3 linked regions of the Callithrix jacchus genome follow. The protein of the gene in region 2 purifies or fractionates together with the protein of the main gene of each other region. This does not show direct contact. Links are inferred from orthologs where the notes say so. Each region holds a gene or a part of one and is shown on either strand. Other genes may lie near its edges. The genes, in order: PDRG1, POLR3K and POLR3B.

Region 1 (4,119 bases), on a different chromosome or scaffold from region 2:
GAATGTGAGCCCTGCAGACATATGGGGAAAGAGTGAGCCAAACAAAGGAAACACGAACAGCAAAGATCAGTAGTGTACTTAGGGTGTTCGAAACAGCAAGGGGGGAACAGTGGCTCACGCCTGTAATCCAGCACTTTGGGAGGCCAAGGCAGGTGATCACTTGAGGACAGGCGTTCAAGACTGGCCTGGCCAACATGGCAAAACCCTGTATCTATTAAAAATACAAAAACTAGCTGGGTGTGGTGGCACACGCCTGTAATCCCAGCTACTCAGGAGGCTGAGGCAGGAGAATCACTTGAACCCGGGAAACAAAGGTTGCAGTGAGCCAGGGTCATGCCACTACACTCCAGCCTGGGTGAGAGAGCAAGACTCTGTCATCAAAATTAAAAATAAATAAATAAAAATTAAAAGAAACCAAAGAGACCCATGTGGGTGAAGTCATAAATGAAGGGGAGAGTAGAAATGATACTGGAATCCTCATGGACTCATGGGGGCTGGATTACTCAAGTCTTGTAGAACCTCTGGATTTTACTCAGATGAGATGAGAAGCAACTGGAAGGCTCTGCATATTCCAGTGCACTTTCAACAAAATGTAAACTTCCCCCCTCAGCCCCTAAGGCCTTTCATTGTGGCCTGGCCTCTGTCTCTCTCTCCAGCCATACTTACCCTCCCCATTTGCTTCCTCTGTCGTAGCCACTTGGCCTCATCTAAATATCCGATTCTTCTGGATGTATATTCTCAATACCCACCCCAAGTCCAATTCCATCTTTGGCTTTCATACAATTTTCAATAATGCATTTTACATTGTTCTCCTCATCTGTAAAGCACAAGGGCAGGAACCATCACTTTTTTATACCCTCAGCGTCTGCCATTGTCCAAGAGCCAGGAGCCAATGACCTGTCACTGAGCAGCCGAAATCCTGAACCACAGTCTGTGCCAGAACTGCAACATTTGCTCCCCAATCTTCACAGACTGTTTCAATTTCCCACAAGGCTGTTACACAGCTGTGGCCTCCTGCCTGATCTCTATCACAGACAAGGTAAAGGCCTTAAAGGAAAACAGAACAGGCCTCCAGGGCTGCACTGAGAAAATTTCAACTTACCAGAGGGGTTGAGATCCTTCTGCAGGGCCCTTAGCCCCTCTCGATTCTGATTCCTTTTAGTGTCCAGGTCCACGATCTGAAAACCACGGAGACAGGAGGGAACTCTGTTATCTCTTGCCCCAAGCTGTCCCCTCTTGACAGACAAGGGCTGCAGAGACAATGCATTATTCCTGAGTTATTTCCAATGTCCTGCCTAAAATGGATTGATGCGTGAATGTATTTCTTCTCTCACTTGGCTTCCTGGTCCTTAAAGACAATGCTTTGTGCAGTTGCCTTCTCCCCAGAGAAGATGCTAGGAAACCATGTGCTGACTAAATGGGAAACTCTGTACTATTGCCTCAAACTTCAGGGCATATGAGAATCACCAGGGGAGTGGAAACCCTTCCCCTACACACTGATTAAGCAGACCTGATGTCTATTTTTGGACAAACTTCTCCAGCTGGTTCTGACCTAGTACTATGAGAAACCCAACAATACTAGATGGGAACAGCAGAAGTGGGGGCACTGAGACAGTGGTAACACCACAATAGTTACTAAGGAAGTGAGGCAGTAGTACAGTATGCTGCACGAGAGTGCTGGTTCTGGAGCTGGAATACCCAGGTTCGAATCCTGCTGTCTGCTTCAAGCTGTGTAATGTCATCTTCCTATTTACTCCTTGGCAAAATGGAGCTACGAACAGTACCTACCTCACAGGTTAATGAGCTAGCAATTAAGTGACTTAATACAGTACCTGGCACATACTAAGTAGCTGATAATCGTTAACTGCTCTCATTAGTCTCATCCAGCACGCCCGGATCCAGCATTTAATTTGACAGGCCCTTGCCCAAGTTTTCCCCTTCTCAGTAAATACCTGAGCTTTCTAACTGGAGATGAGAGGGAGTCATGACTCCCCCGGCTCCCTAACCCCTTTACACAGCCACTATCACGGCCTACTGAGTCTGTCTCCAAAATACATTTCTGACCCATTCACTTCTCTCCACCACCACTACCTAGTCCAAATCCAACTCTGGTCTGGACCATAGCAATGACCCTTCACCCATCTCCCTGCCCCCACCCTTGTGCGCCTATATTGTGTATTCCACACGGCAACCAGAGGGATCCATTTAAAACGTAAATCCAATTACGTCACCCTCCTTCCTCCAGGAACTCCCTTCAAAAACTTGGCACTTACATTAGAGCCTGACCCCCCACAAGGCACCCCATAAACAGGGCACCACCTTAACCGACGTCCCCATCCCTGGCCGGTCACAAGGCTCCCCCAGGCCTCTTTTCGGCTCCTCCTTTCCCCTAAGGGCCTCAGGGGGCCGGGAAGTGCATTTTGAAAGAGGTGCTCAGAGAAACGGCCCAGAGAGTGATGGTCGAGATCCGGAGAGCACGGTAAGAGGCAGAGAAAGGATGAAGGAAGAGGAATACCCAGCACTGCGCAGGCGCTCACTTAGTAGCGGCCGAATATTTATCGGCCCACATCTCTTGCCTCGGGACAGTTAACCGCCCGTCCGGGTCAACTCCCCGCAACCCCGTGCGCTTTCCGACGGCGCTAGCCTCCTGGCCCCAGCGCCGCAGACGGGCCTCTCACCTGCCGCTTGTCCGCCAGCACCTCTTCAGCGAGCTCCTCCACCTCTACCAAGTACCGCAGTACTCGCTCAGCCTCGGGTGACAGCATAGCGCCCACCAACTCCACCTACGACTCTCGCGCGACCCTTCTCTCACTCCACTGGGTAGCCACTGCGGCTTCCGCTGTACATGCGCCGCTCTCACGGGACTTCCGGAGCGCCTGCGCATTTAAAAGAACTGTGGCGCGCAGGCTCTAACGCACGTGCGTCAGCGGCCGTGAGAGGCGGGGTCTAGCTTTAGGGGGCGGGGCTGGAGCGCCCTCTGCAGGCTCAGAGAGCTCAGTCCGCGGGCAGCCACTGACCCCTTCCTCCCTCGGTTCATATTTCTTGAGCACTTACTATGAGCCAAGCAGTTTTAGGGACTTGGGATGCAGCAGTGAACACCACAAAATCTCTGCCCTCATGGAACTTCATCCTAGTGGTAAACACCGACAATTAATGGCAAAACAGTTATATAGAATGGCACGTCGTGATTATGGCCTGGGAAATATCATTCTTCCCCTGTCTAAGAAACACCAAGAAGGCCCATGTGGCAGTGTGATTAATGTTTCATCTCTGACACTTTCAGTTTCTAACTTATAAAAAGAGGGTGAATGAAAATCCCCTTCAGTGTCTCTTCACAGGATAGGAAGGAAGCAGGAATTGGCTGGGCGCAGTGGCTCACACCTGTAATCCCAGCACTTTGGAAGGCCAAGGCAGGGTTCCCTTGAGCCCAGGAGTCAGAGACCAGCTTGGGTAACACGGTAAAATACCGTTTATACTAAAAAATATATATATATATTAGCTGGGCTCGGTGGGGCATGCCTGTTGGTCCCAGCTATTCAGGAAGCTGAGGTGGGAGGAGCACCTGAGCCTGGGGAGTGGAGGCTGCAGTGAGCTATGATGGCACCACTGCGCTCTTGAAAACTATGGGCAGTAAGCAATGAAATGCTAGCTCATAAAAGCAAATGGGTTTGGGTCGTAGGATTGGGAGGCCTTCCCAGAGGAGGCAGGCAGATGGAAAATGGTTACCATCAGAACCAGAGGGTTCCCACGAGGTCTTCACGCCCAAACTCCTCATTGCATAGCTGGAAAAAAGAAGCCTCAGAGAGAGGCAAGAACTTTGAAAAGAAGGTGAGGAGTGAGCCATGTGGATGTCTAGGAGAAGAGTGTTCCAGGCAGAGGGAACATCCAGTGTGTGTGGAACAGAATGGGTGGGGGAAGCAGGCAGAAGGTCAGAGGGGAAGGAGGGCTGTAAAAGGCGCTGGGAAAGGACGATGACAAGTCTGAAGAGCAGGACTGATATTAGCACTCTGATCTCTTGCCTCCCCGATTCCAGCTTTTTATTCTCTCCTTTCAACCGCTTGTAACCAAGCCCCTTCACACCCCTTGCCTTACTTGTCAAAGCAGCCTTTGTATGGATGG
Region 2 (4,306 bases):
TTCGTTACCTGACAAAAACAAGCCTTCAGACTCAAAGTAGCCAAATGGTGCAAACTTGGGCCTCCAAACCTCAAATTTCAGGACTGCATAAGAATTCACTCTTCCCACAGTTTCAGACTCTACACTCCCACAACACAGTACAAAACGGAGTAGTATGCAAACATTAAGACTGAGGTCACACCACGACGTTCTAACTTCTGAAAAGTAAAGGTATTCTGGCCGGGCATGGTGGCTCACACCTATAATCCTAGAATTTGGGATGCCAAGGCAAGCAGATCGCCTGACGTCAGGAGTTCAAGATCAGCCTGGCCAGCATGGTGAAACCCCATCTCTACTAAAAGTGCAGAATTTAGCAGGGCGTGGTGGCAGATGCCTCAGGAGGATGAAGTAGCTGAGCTACTCGGGAAGCTGAGACGTAAGAAATGCTTGAACCTGGGAGATGGAGGTTGCAGTGAGCCAAGATCACACCACTGCTCTCCAGCCTGGACAACAGAGCAAGACTCCATCTCAAAAAAAGAAAAAAAGACAGTTCACAGCTGTAATCCCAGCACTTTGGGATGCCAAGGCAAGATCGCCTGAGGCTGGGAGTTCAAGATCATCCTGGCCAACATGGTGAAACCCTGTCTTTATTAAAAATACAAAAAATAGCCGGTGGTGGCGCACGCCTGTACTCCCAGCTACTTGGAAAGCTGAGGCAGGAGAATCACTTGAACCACGGAGATGGAAGTTGCAGTGAGCCGAGATCACGCCACTGTACTCCAGCCTGGGCAACAAGAGCAAAACGGTGTCTCAAAAAAAAAAAAAAAAAAAACAAAAGTAAAGGTATTCTAAAAAGCAAATCTGTATTATTAAGGAAAAGTAATAAGTTATAATACAGTGCATCATCTGCTTACTGAACAGCTACTATGTCATAGGTTTCCTTTTAGTTGTTCAGAATAGAACATGGAAAGGAACAGAGAAAAACCCTGCCCGCCTAGACCTTAGGTCCTACTATTAATAAACAAAGCACACAATACATTACATAATATATTAGGAGGTAATAAGCCCTATGGAAACAATTAAAAAGGGAAGGAGGGGCCGGGCGCGGTGGCTCACGCCTGTAATCCCAGCACTTTGGGAGGCCGAGGCGGGTGGATCACGAGGTCAAGAGATCGAGACCATCCTGGTCAACACGGTGAAACCCCGTCTCTATTAAAAATACAAAAAAATTAGCTGGGCACGGTGGCGCGTGCCTGTAATCCCAGCTACTCAGGAGGCTGAGGCAGGAGAATTGCCTGAACCCAGGAGGCGGAGGTTGCGGTGAGCCGAGATCGCGCCATTGCACTCCAGCCTGGGTAACAAGAGCGAAACTCCGTCTCAAAAAAAAAAAAAAAAAAAAAAAAAAGGGAAGGAGGATAACTGAGAAGGAAGGGCTGCAACTTAAAATACAGTCAACGTTGAAGACAAGACCAGACCAGTGAGTAAGCCGGCTCTAGGGGAAGAGTGAACCAAGCAACCTTAAGTGCCAGTCCTCCAGGAGGCTGGTGTTGATGGGGCAAAGGGCAACAGGAGGAGCGCCGGGCAGCGGCTCAGTGTCGGAACCTGGTAGGTCCTGGAGGACTCCGGCTTTTCCCCTGCGTGAGCTGGGAAAGGTCGAAAGTTTCTGCGCACAACACGGACCTGTGTGACTCGGCCCTTACGGAATCGCCGTGGCCGCTGCTGCGAACGCAGTAAGGGGCGCAAGCGTGAGAGCAGGAACCCAGGGAGGCGGGAAACGGCGGCCTAGCCGGGTGTACAGGAAAGCAGAGCCCACGGGATCCGCTGCCGACTGGAAGGGGGCGCGAGAAAGAGCGGACAGCCGGGCGCAATGGCTGACTCCCGTAATCCCAACACCTTAGGAGGTAGAGGCGGGCGGATCACGAGGTCAGGAGTTTGAGATCAGCCTGGCCAACACGGTGAAACCCCGTCTCTACTAAAAATACAAAAAAAAAAAAAAAAAAAAAAAATTAGCCAGGCCGGGCGCGGTGGCTCAAGCCTGTAATCCCAGCACTTTGGGAGTCCGAGGCGTGTGGATCACGAGGTCAAGAGATCGAGACCATCCTGGTCAACATGGTGAAACCCCGTCTCTACTAAAAATACAAAAAATTAGCTGGGCATGGTGGCGCGTGCCTGTAATCCCAGCTACTCAGGAAGCTGAGGCAGGAGAATTGCCTGAACCCAGGAGGCAGAGGTTGCGGTGAGCCGAGGTCACGCCACTGCACTCCAGCCTGGGTAACAAGAGCGAAACTCCGTCTCAAAAAAAAAAAAAAAAAAAAAAAAAAAAAAAAAAATTAGCCGGGCGTGGTTGCGGGCGCCTGTAATCCCAGCTACTCGGCAGGCTGAAGCAGGAGAATCGCTTGAACCTTGGAGGAGGAGGTTGCGGTGAGCCGAGACCGCGCCATTGCATTCCAGCCTGGGCAACAGAGCGAGAGGATGTCTCACTTTAAAAAAAAAAAAAAAAAAAAAAAAAAAACGAGAGAAGGAAAGGGCAGAGGCACAGACACGCCGGGGCTGGCGGCGAAGGCGCTGCAGTCGGAGGAAGCGGAAGTCCTGCGAGAGACGCCCGCCTTCGAGTCCCACCTTGCGGGTGATGTTGTGCACGTAGGGGCACGTATTGCAGGCGAAGCGGTGGCAGCGCTGTCCCTCCTCCACGATCAGCCCGTTCCCGCAGCCGGGGCAGAACAGCAGCATCGTCTCCGACTCCACAGGGCCCGGCTCCCAGCAGCTCCCGCCGTCCCTCAGCGCCGACACACCGCCCGCCTCGAGCTCACGTCGGTGCCGGCAGCCGCCCCGCCCCGCCCAGCCAACCAATAGACAGGGCGATTCTGCGCGCCCAGCAGGCTATCTCGTACTTGTCATTGGTCACTGCAACTGCCCCTCCCCTCGATGCACCAATGGCTGGGCGGCCTCGCTGGGGCGGGCCCCCGTTCCTGCGCCTGCGTACTTGGCCTCCGTAGTGCGGCTTGGCAGTGCGGGCGGGGCCCTACTGAGACGCGCAGTCCTGGAGCAGGTCGAGGCCGCGAGTCGGCCCGAGGCGCAAGAGGACGATGAGGACGAAGAGGAGACGCTGCCTCACTCCGAGGCCGTGGACGTGTTCCAGGAGGGTCTGGCCATGGTGGTGCAGGACCCGCTGCTCTGCGATCTGCCGATCCAGGTGTGTGCGGGCGGAGGCTGGGGGGCTGGGGTCGTTCCCCCGGGGGCCGGGAGCCGGGGCGTTCGGGTACGTGCAGCCTCTGAAGGTGCTGATGGGAGAAGGCGCCTCTGGGTGTAAACGAGGGTCTTAACCTGGGTAGGGCGCACTCGCCTGGGGCGCGAAATTTAAAGAGGCACCAGAAACCTCACTAGTGAGTGACAATAAATGACCTTTTAATGTAATTGTATTTAGAGGGGGTCTGGGGGACAGGGTCATGCTCTGTCACCCAAGCTGGAGTGCAGTGGCGCGATCTCGGCTTACTGTAGCCTGGACCTCCTGAGCTCAAGCCATCCTCCCACCTCAGCCTCCCGAGTAATTGGGACCACAGGTGCGGGACACCACGCCCAGCTAATTTTTAAATTTTTTGTAGAGAGGGGGGGGTCTCACTATGTTGCCCAGGCTGGTATCGAACTCCTGGGCTCTGGCGATCCTCCTGCCTCTGCCTCCCAAAGTGCTGGGATTATAGGTGTGAGCCACCCGCCCAGTCTGTAATAGTTTTAAAAGTAAAAGTTGATGAAAAAAAAAAAAAAGCCTACAGTAAAGAAAAAAATCTAGTTTTAAACAAGAGCAAGATTCGTAGCACTGATTGTTCCATTTGCCTCAAGCACCAACATGCTTTGGCACGATACTTTGTTTGAGTGGGTTTTTTTTTTTGAGACAGAGCCAGGCTGGAGTGCAGTAGCACGATCTAACATGCTGCCCAGAATGGTTTCAGTCTCGTGCTCTGCCCACCTCGGCCTCCCAAAGTGCTGAGGTGACAGGCATGAGCCACCGCGCCCGGCCAATTCTAAATGTTTGATATTTTGCTCATGGATTTTTTAATTGGCCTTGTGCTTCTTAAATGTTGTGTTAAAATATTTATAGTTAATACCGTTTTTTGCTACCCTGGTAAATTTCCCACACCTGCTTTACCCCAGTCCCAGTCCCAGGCCCTGGCCTGGGTGCTGATGATCAGAGATACTCAGGGTGAACTGACAGTCAGGCCCCTACCCACCCCCTGGGGTGGATCCTCATATGAGTGTATTCTCTTGTTCCCCAAGAGACTCTGTCCACTTTGGACATTAAATTAAGATGTGAGTGGAACATGAGATTGGG
Region 3 (3,588 bases), on a different chromosome or scaffold from region 2:
GAAAACATTGCTTCTGTGGTATTCTTGCCAAAAATGTACAACCCAATCTAATAATGATCAAATGTCATACAAACTCAAATTCAAGGAACTTCTACAAATATTGAGTAGATTGTTCAAAAGTATCAAAGTCATGAAAGACCAAGAAAGACTGGGGGACTTCAAAAATTGAGGAGACTAAGGATACAAGACAACTAAACATAACATGGAGCTCTGGATTGATTCCTACACCAGAAAAAGATTATTTGTGAGAAAACATCAAATGAGATCTACAGATTAGTAGACAACATCGTATCAGTGCTAACTTCCTGGTTTTATTATTGTGCTATGATTATGTAAGATGTTAATATCAGTGAAAGCTTGGCAAAGGATACTGAAGAACTCCTTGTACTATTTTTGCAATTTTTCTTTTAAGCTTAAAATTATTTCAAAATAAAAATTTAAATATTTAAAACTTAATAGTTTCAAAAACTTCCCATTCATAACTCGTTATAATTTGACAATTAAAAATGTAATTTGAGCACTTTATAATAGGAGACAATGATTTTATTTTATCTTATTTTATTTTATTTTATTTTTTTGAGCTGGAGTCTCACTCTGTCGTCCAGGCTGGAGTGTAGAGGCACAATCTCAGCTCACTGCAACCTCCGCCTCCAGGGACTGCAACCTCCGCCTCCTGGGCTCAAGCGATTGTCCTGTCTTAGCCTCCCGAGTAGCTGGGATTACAGATGTGCATCACCATGACTGGGGAATTTTTAAATTTTTAGTAGAAACAGGTTTTCACCATGTTGGCCAAGCTGCTCTTGAACTCCCGACCCCAGGTGATCTGCCCACCTTGGCCTCCCAAAGTGCTAGGATTGTAGGCGTGAGCCACTACGCACGACCAAGACAATGATTTTTAAAGAATTTTGATAGCCACTTCACTCACTTTTAAAAATGTTAGACATAACCCAAATAGCAAATTAAGAATAGTTGGTTCCTTACTTTAAGTACCACATAGGGTCAGCGTCACTTGTAACCTTTTCATTGGCTTTCATTATCTTCTTTATCTGCAGTGGAAAATGCAACATTAGGAAAGACTCCCGCTTCCAATTAATCCTTAGTTTATGTCTAATGTCTGATGCTTACCTCTACATTAATAAAATAGTTAAATGAATCTATATGCTGTTTCACAAGGCCTTTCACCTAAACAGAAAGTAAAGATAGGTTAGCAACAAAATAATAGATCATGTAATGGAATCTAATCATGGGTGAACATCAAATTTTTCTCAAAAAGTGAGGAAAAAATCCACGAATTTAATAAATCTTTTCATTAATGTGTTCTAATTCCGTTTCCACATCATCTTACTAGTATATTCTCAAGAGTTTTCCTCCTTGAGAAGAAATCTGACTCTTGGAAATCAAAATATGAGTACACGAATATATGGCCATGTGCCACATAACAACATTTCGTTCTACTATGAACCACATATATGACAGCAGTCCCATAAGATTATAATGGAGCTGAAAAATTCCTATCACCTAATGACTTACGACTTGATTTGATTTCATAGAGTATATCTGTGAAAAGAGTGACCCTTTCCTCAAGAAGCGCCTCCAGCAGGTCCTTCAGGTAGTATTGCAGAAGCAGCCACTGCTATCATAGAAGATGATCGCTCCATGTATTATTGTCCATGAAGACCCTCCAGTGGGACAAGGCATGGAGATGGAGGACAGTGATACTGATGATTCTGGCCTGGGCTAATGTGTGTATTTGTATCTTAGGTTTTAACAACAACAAAAAAATAGAGACAGAGTCTCCCTCTATTGCCCAGGCTGGAGTACAGTGGCGCAATCTCAGCTCACTACAACGTCAGCCTCCCAGGATCAAGCAGTTCACGTGCCTCAGCCTTCTGAATGGCTGGGATTACAGGTGCCTGCCGCCATGTCCAGCTAATTTTTGTATTTTTAGTAGAAACGGGGTTTCACCATATTGGCCAGGCTAGTCAGTCTCAAATTCCCAACCTCAAATTATTGCCTGCCTTGGCCTCCCCAAGTGCTGGGATTACAAGCGTGAGCCACTGGGCCTAGCACCTTCTTCTCCATTTATGTACAGCTCCTTTTAAAAAATAAAAAGGCCAGGCAAGGTGTCATATTCCTACGGTCACAGCTACTCAGGAGGCAGAGGCAGGAGGATCACTCAAACCCAAGGGTTGAAATCCAGCCTGAGCAATGTAGCAAGACTCAGTCTTCTAGGGGTAAAGAAAATAATATTTCTTGATCTTACTACCATTTTATTTGATTCTTGATCACTCCCCTACTTAAAAACTCAATAGCTTTGTATGGCTTTTAGAAGAAAAGCCAAATCCTTAGCATGGCTTTCAAATCTGACAAGAAATCTGGCCCTGACAACTTTCCCAGCCTCATTTCCCAGCACTCTCCCCTCTATCCACAGCACCCAACTGAACTGGACAAACTCTACTCATTTTTTTTTTTTGAGATGGAGTCTCGCACTCTCGTGCTATTGCCCAGGCTGGAGTGCAGTGGCACAATCTTCGCTCACTGCAACTTCCGCCTTCCGGGTTCAAGCGATTCTCCTGCCTCAGCTTCCCAAGTAGCTGGGATTACAGGCACCCGTCACCATGCCCAGCTAATTTTTTTGTATTTTAGTAGGGATGGGGTTTCACTATGTTAGCCAGGTTGGTCTCAATCTCCTGACCTCGTGATCCATCCACCTCGGCCTCCCAAAGTGCTGGTATTACAGGCGTGAGCCACTGCGCCTGGCCTCATATTTCAAGTCTCCATTCTTTCATTTAGCACAATGGTTTCAAGATTCATCCATGTTGCAGCATGTAAGGTACTTGATTTCTTTTTATTGCCAAATAATACTCCATTGTACAGATACATCCCATTTTGTGTATCCATCCAGCAGCTGATGTCCATTTTATGAATAATGCTGCTATGAGCATTTGTGTACAGGTTTCTGCATGGACACATGTTTTTCTCTTGGGCAGATATCTAGGAATGGAATTGCTGGAGGATACGGTAACTTTTTGTTTAACCATTTGAGAAACTGCCAGCCTGTTTCCAAAGTGGCTATAACACTTTACCTTCCCATCAGTGGAGCATGATGGTTCCCGTTCCTCCACATCCTCATTAACATTTGATTCAGATTATAGTTATCCTAGAGGGTGCCAAGTGGTCTCTCACTGTGGTACTCACTACTTCTTAGCGTAAGCTCTTGGAAACTGAACTGAAGCCCGACACCACATCACTTCATATTCAGCAGCTCCCCTGACTGGTCGCTATTTCCTGCAGACCCTGTGGAGACTCCTCTTGAACACCTTGATTGAGACATGCTCTCTGCACTCAGCTTTCAGCTTAAACCATCTTCTCTTAAGATGTGATTTATGTCTCACTTCATTTGGGTGGGCCTCTCTGACCATCACTCTTTTGCCAATAGTACTTTGGCTTTTAATCATCTGTCATGCTGCTATGCATGTTTTACTACTTCTCTCTAAAATTAGACTACCACTCCGCAAACCTGCACCTTTCAGTCAGGGATTTTACCTTATAATACCAAAACTAGCAACACAGCTATACAAAATCAAA

What was found.
Region 1: the proteins of POLR3K (region 2) and PDRG1 purify together in Homo sapiens (affinity purification with mass spectrometry; 3 studies listed by BioGRID and IntAct, with this or other methods). This does not show direct contact. The link is inferred for Callithrix jacchus from reciprocal best matches to the Homo sapiens genes POLR3K and PDRG1.
Region 3: the proteins of POLR3K (region 2) and POLR3B purify together in Homo sapiens (affinity purification with mass spectrometry; 6 studies listed by BioGRID and IntAct, with this or other methods). This does not show direct contact. The link is inferred for Callithrix jacchus from reciprocal best matches to the Homo sapiens genes POLR3K and POLR3B.

Annotation. Positions count from the first base shown.
Region 1 is NC_133506.1:7,247,573-7,251,691, reverse strand, and holds the start of PDRG1 (p53 and DNA damage-regulated protein 1), read right to left. Parts: upstream 2,861-4,119; 5' UTR 2,766-2,860; coding exon 2,679-2,765; intron 1,179-2,678; coding exon 1,103-1,178; intron 1-1,102. UniProt on the Homo sapiens protein: May play a role in chaperone-mediated protein folding.
Region 2 is NC_133513.1:2,334,468-2,338,773, forward strand, and holds the start of POLR3K (DNA-directed RNA polymerase III subunit RPC10), read right to left. Parts: upstream 2,806-4,306; 5' UTR 2,710-2,805; coding exon 2,599-2,709; intron 9-2,598; coding exon 1-8. Other genes in the region: SNRNP25 (U11/U12 small nuclear ribonucleoprotein 25 kDa protein), read left to right, coding at 3,131-3,172. UniProt on the Homo sapiens protein: Core component of RNA polymerase III (Pol III) which synthesizes small non-coding RNAs using the four ribonucleoside triphosphates as substrates. Can mediate Pol I proofreading of the nascent RNA transcript.
Region 3 is NC_133510.1:109,232,662-109,236,249, reverse strand, and holds part of POLR3B (DNA-directed RNA polymerase III subunit RPC2), read right to left. Parts: intron 1,183-3,588; coding exon 1,126-1,182; intron 1,047-1,125; coding exon 982-1,046; intron 1-981. UniProt on the Homo sapiens protein: Catalytic core component of RNA polymerase III (Pol III), a DNA-dependent RNA polymerase which synthesizes small non-coding RNAs using the four ribonucleoside triphosphates as substrates.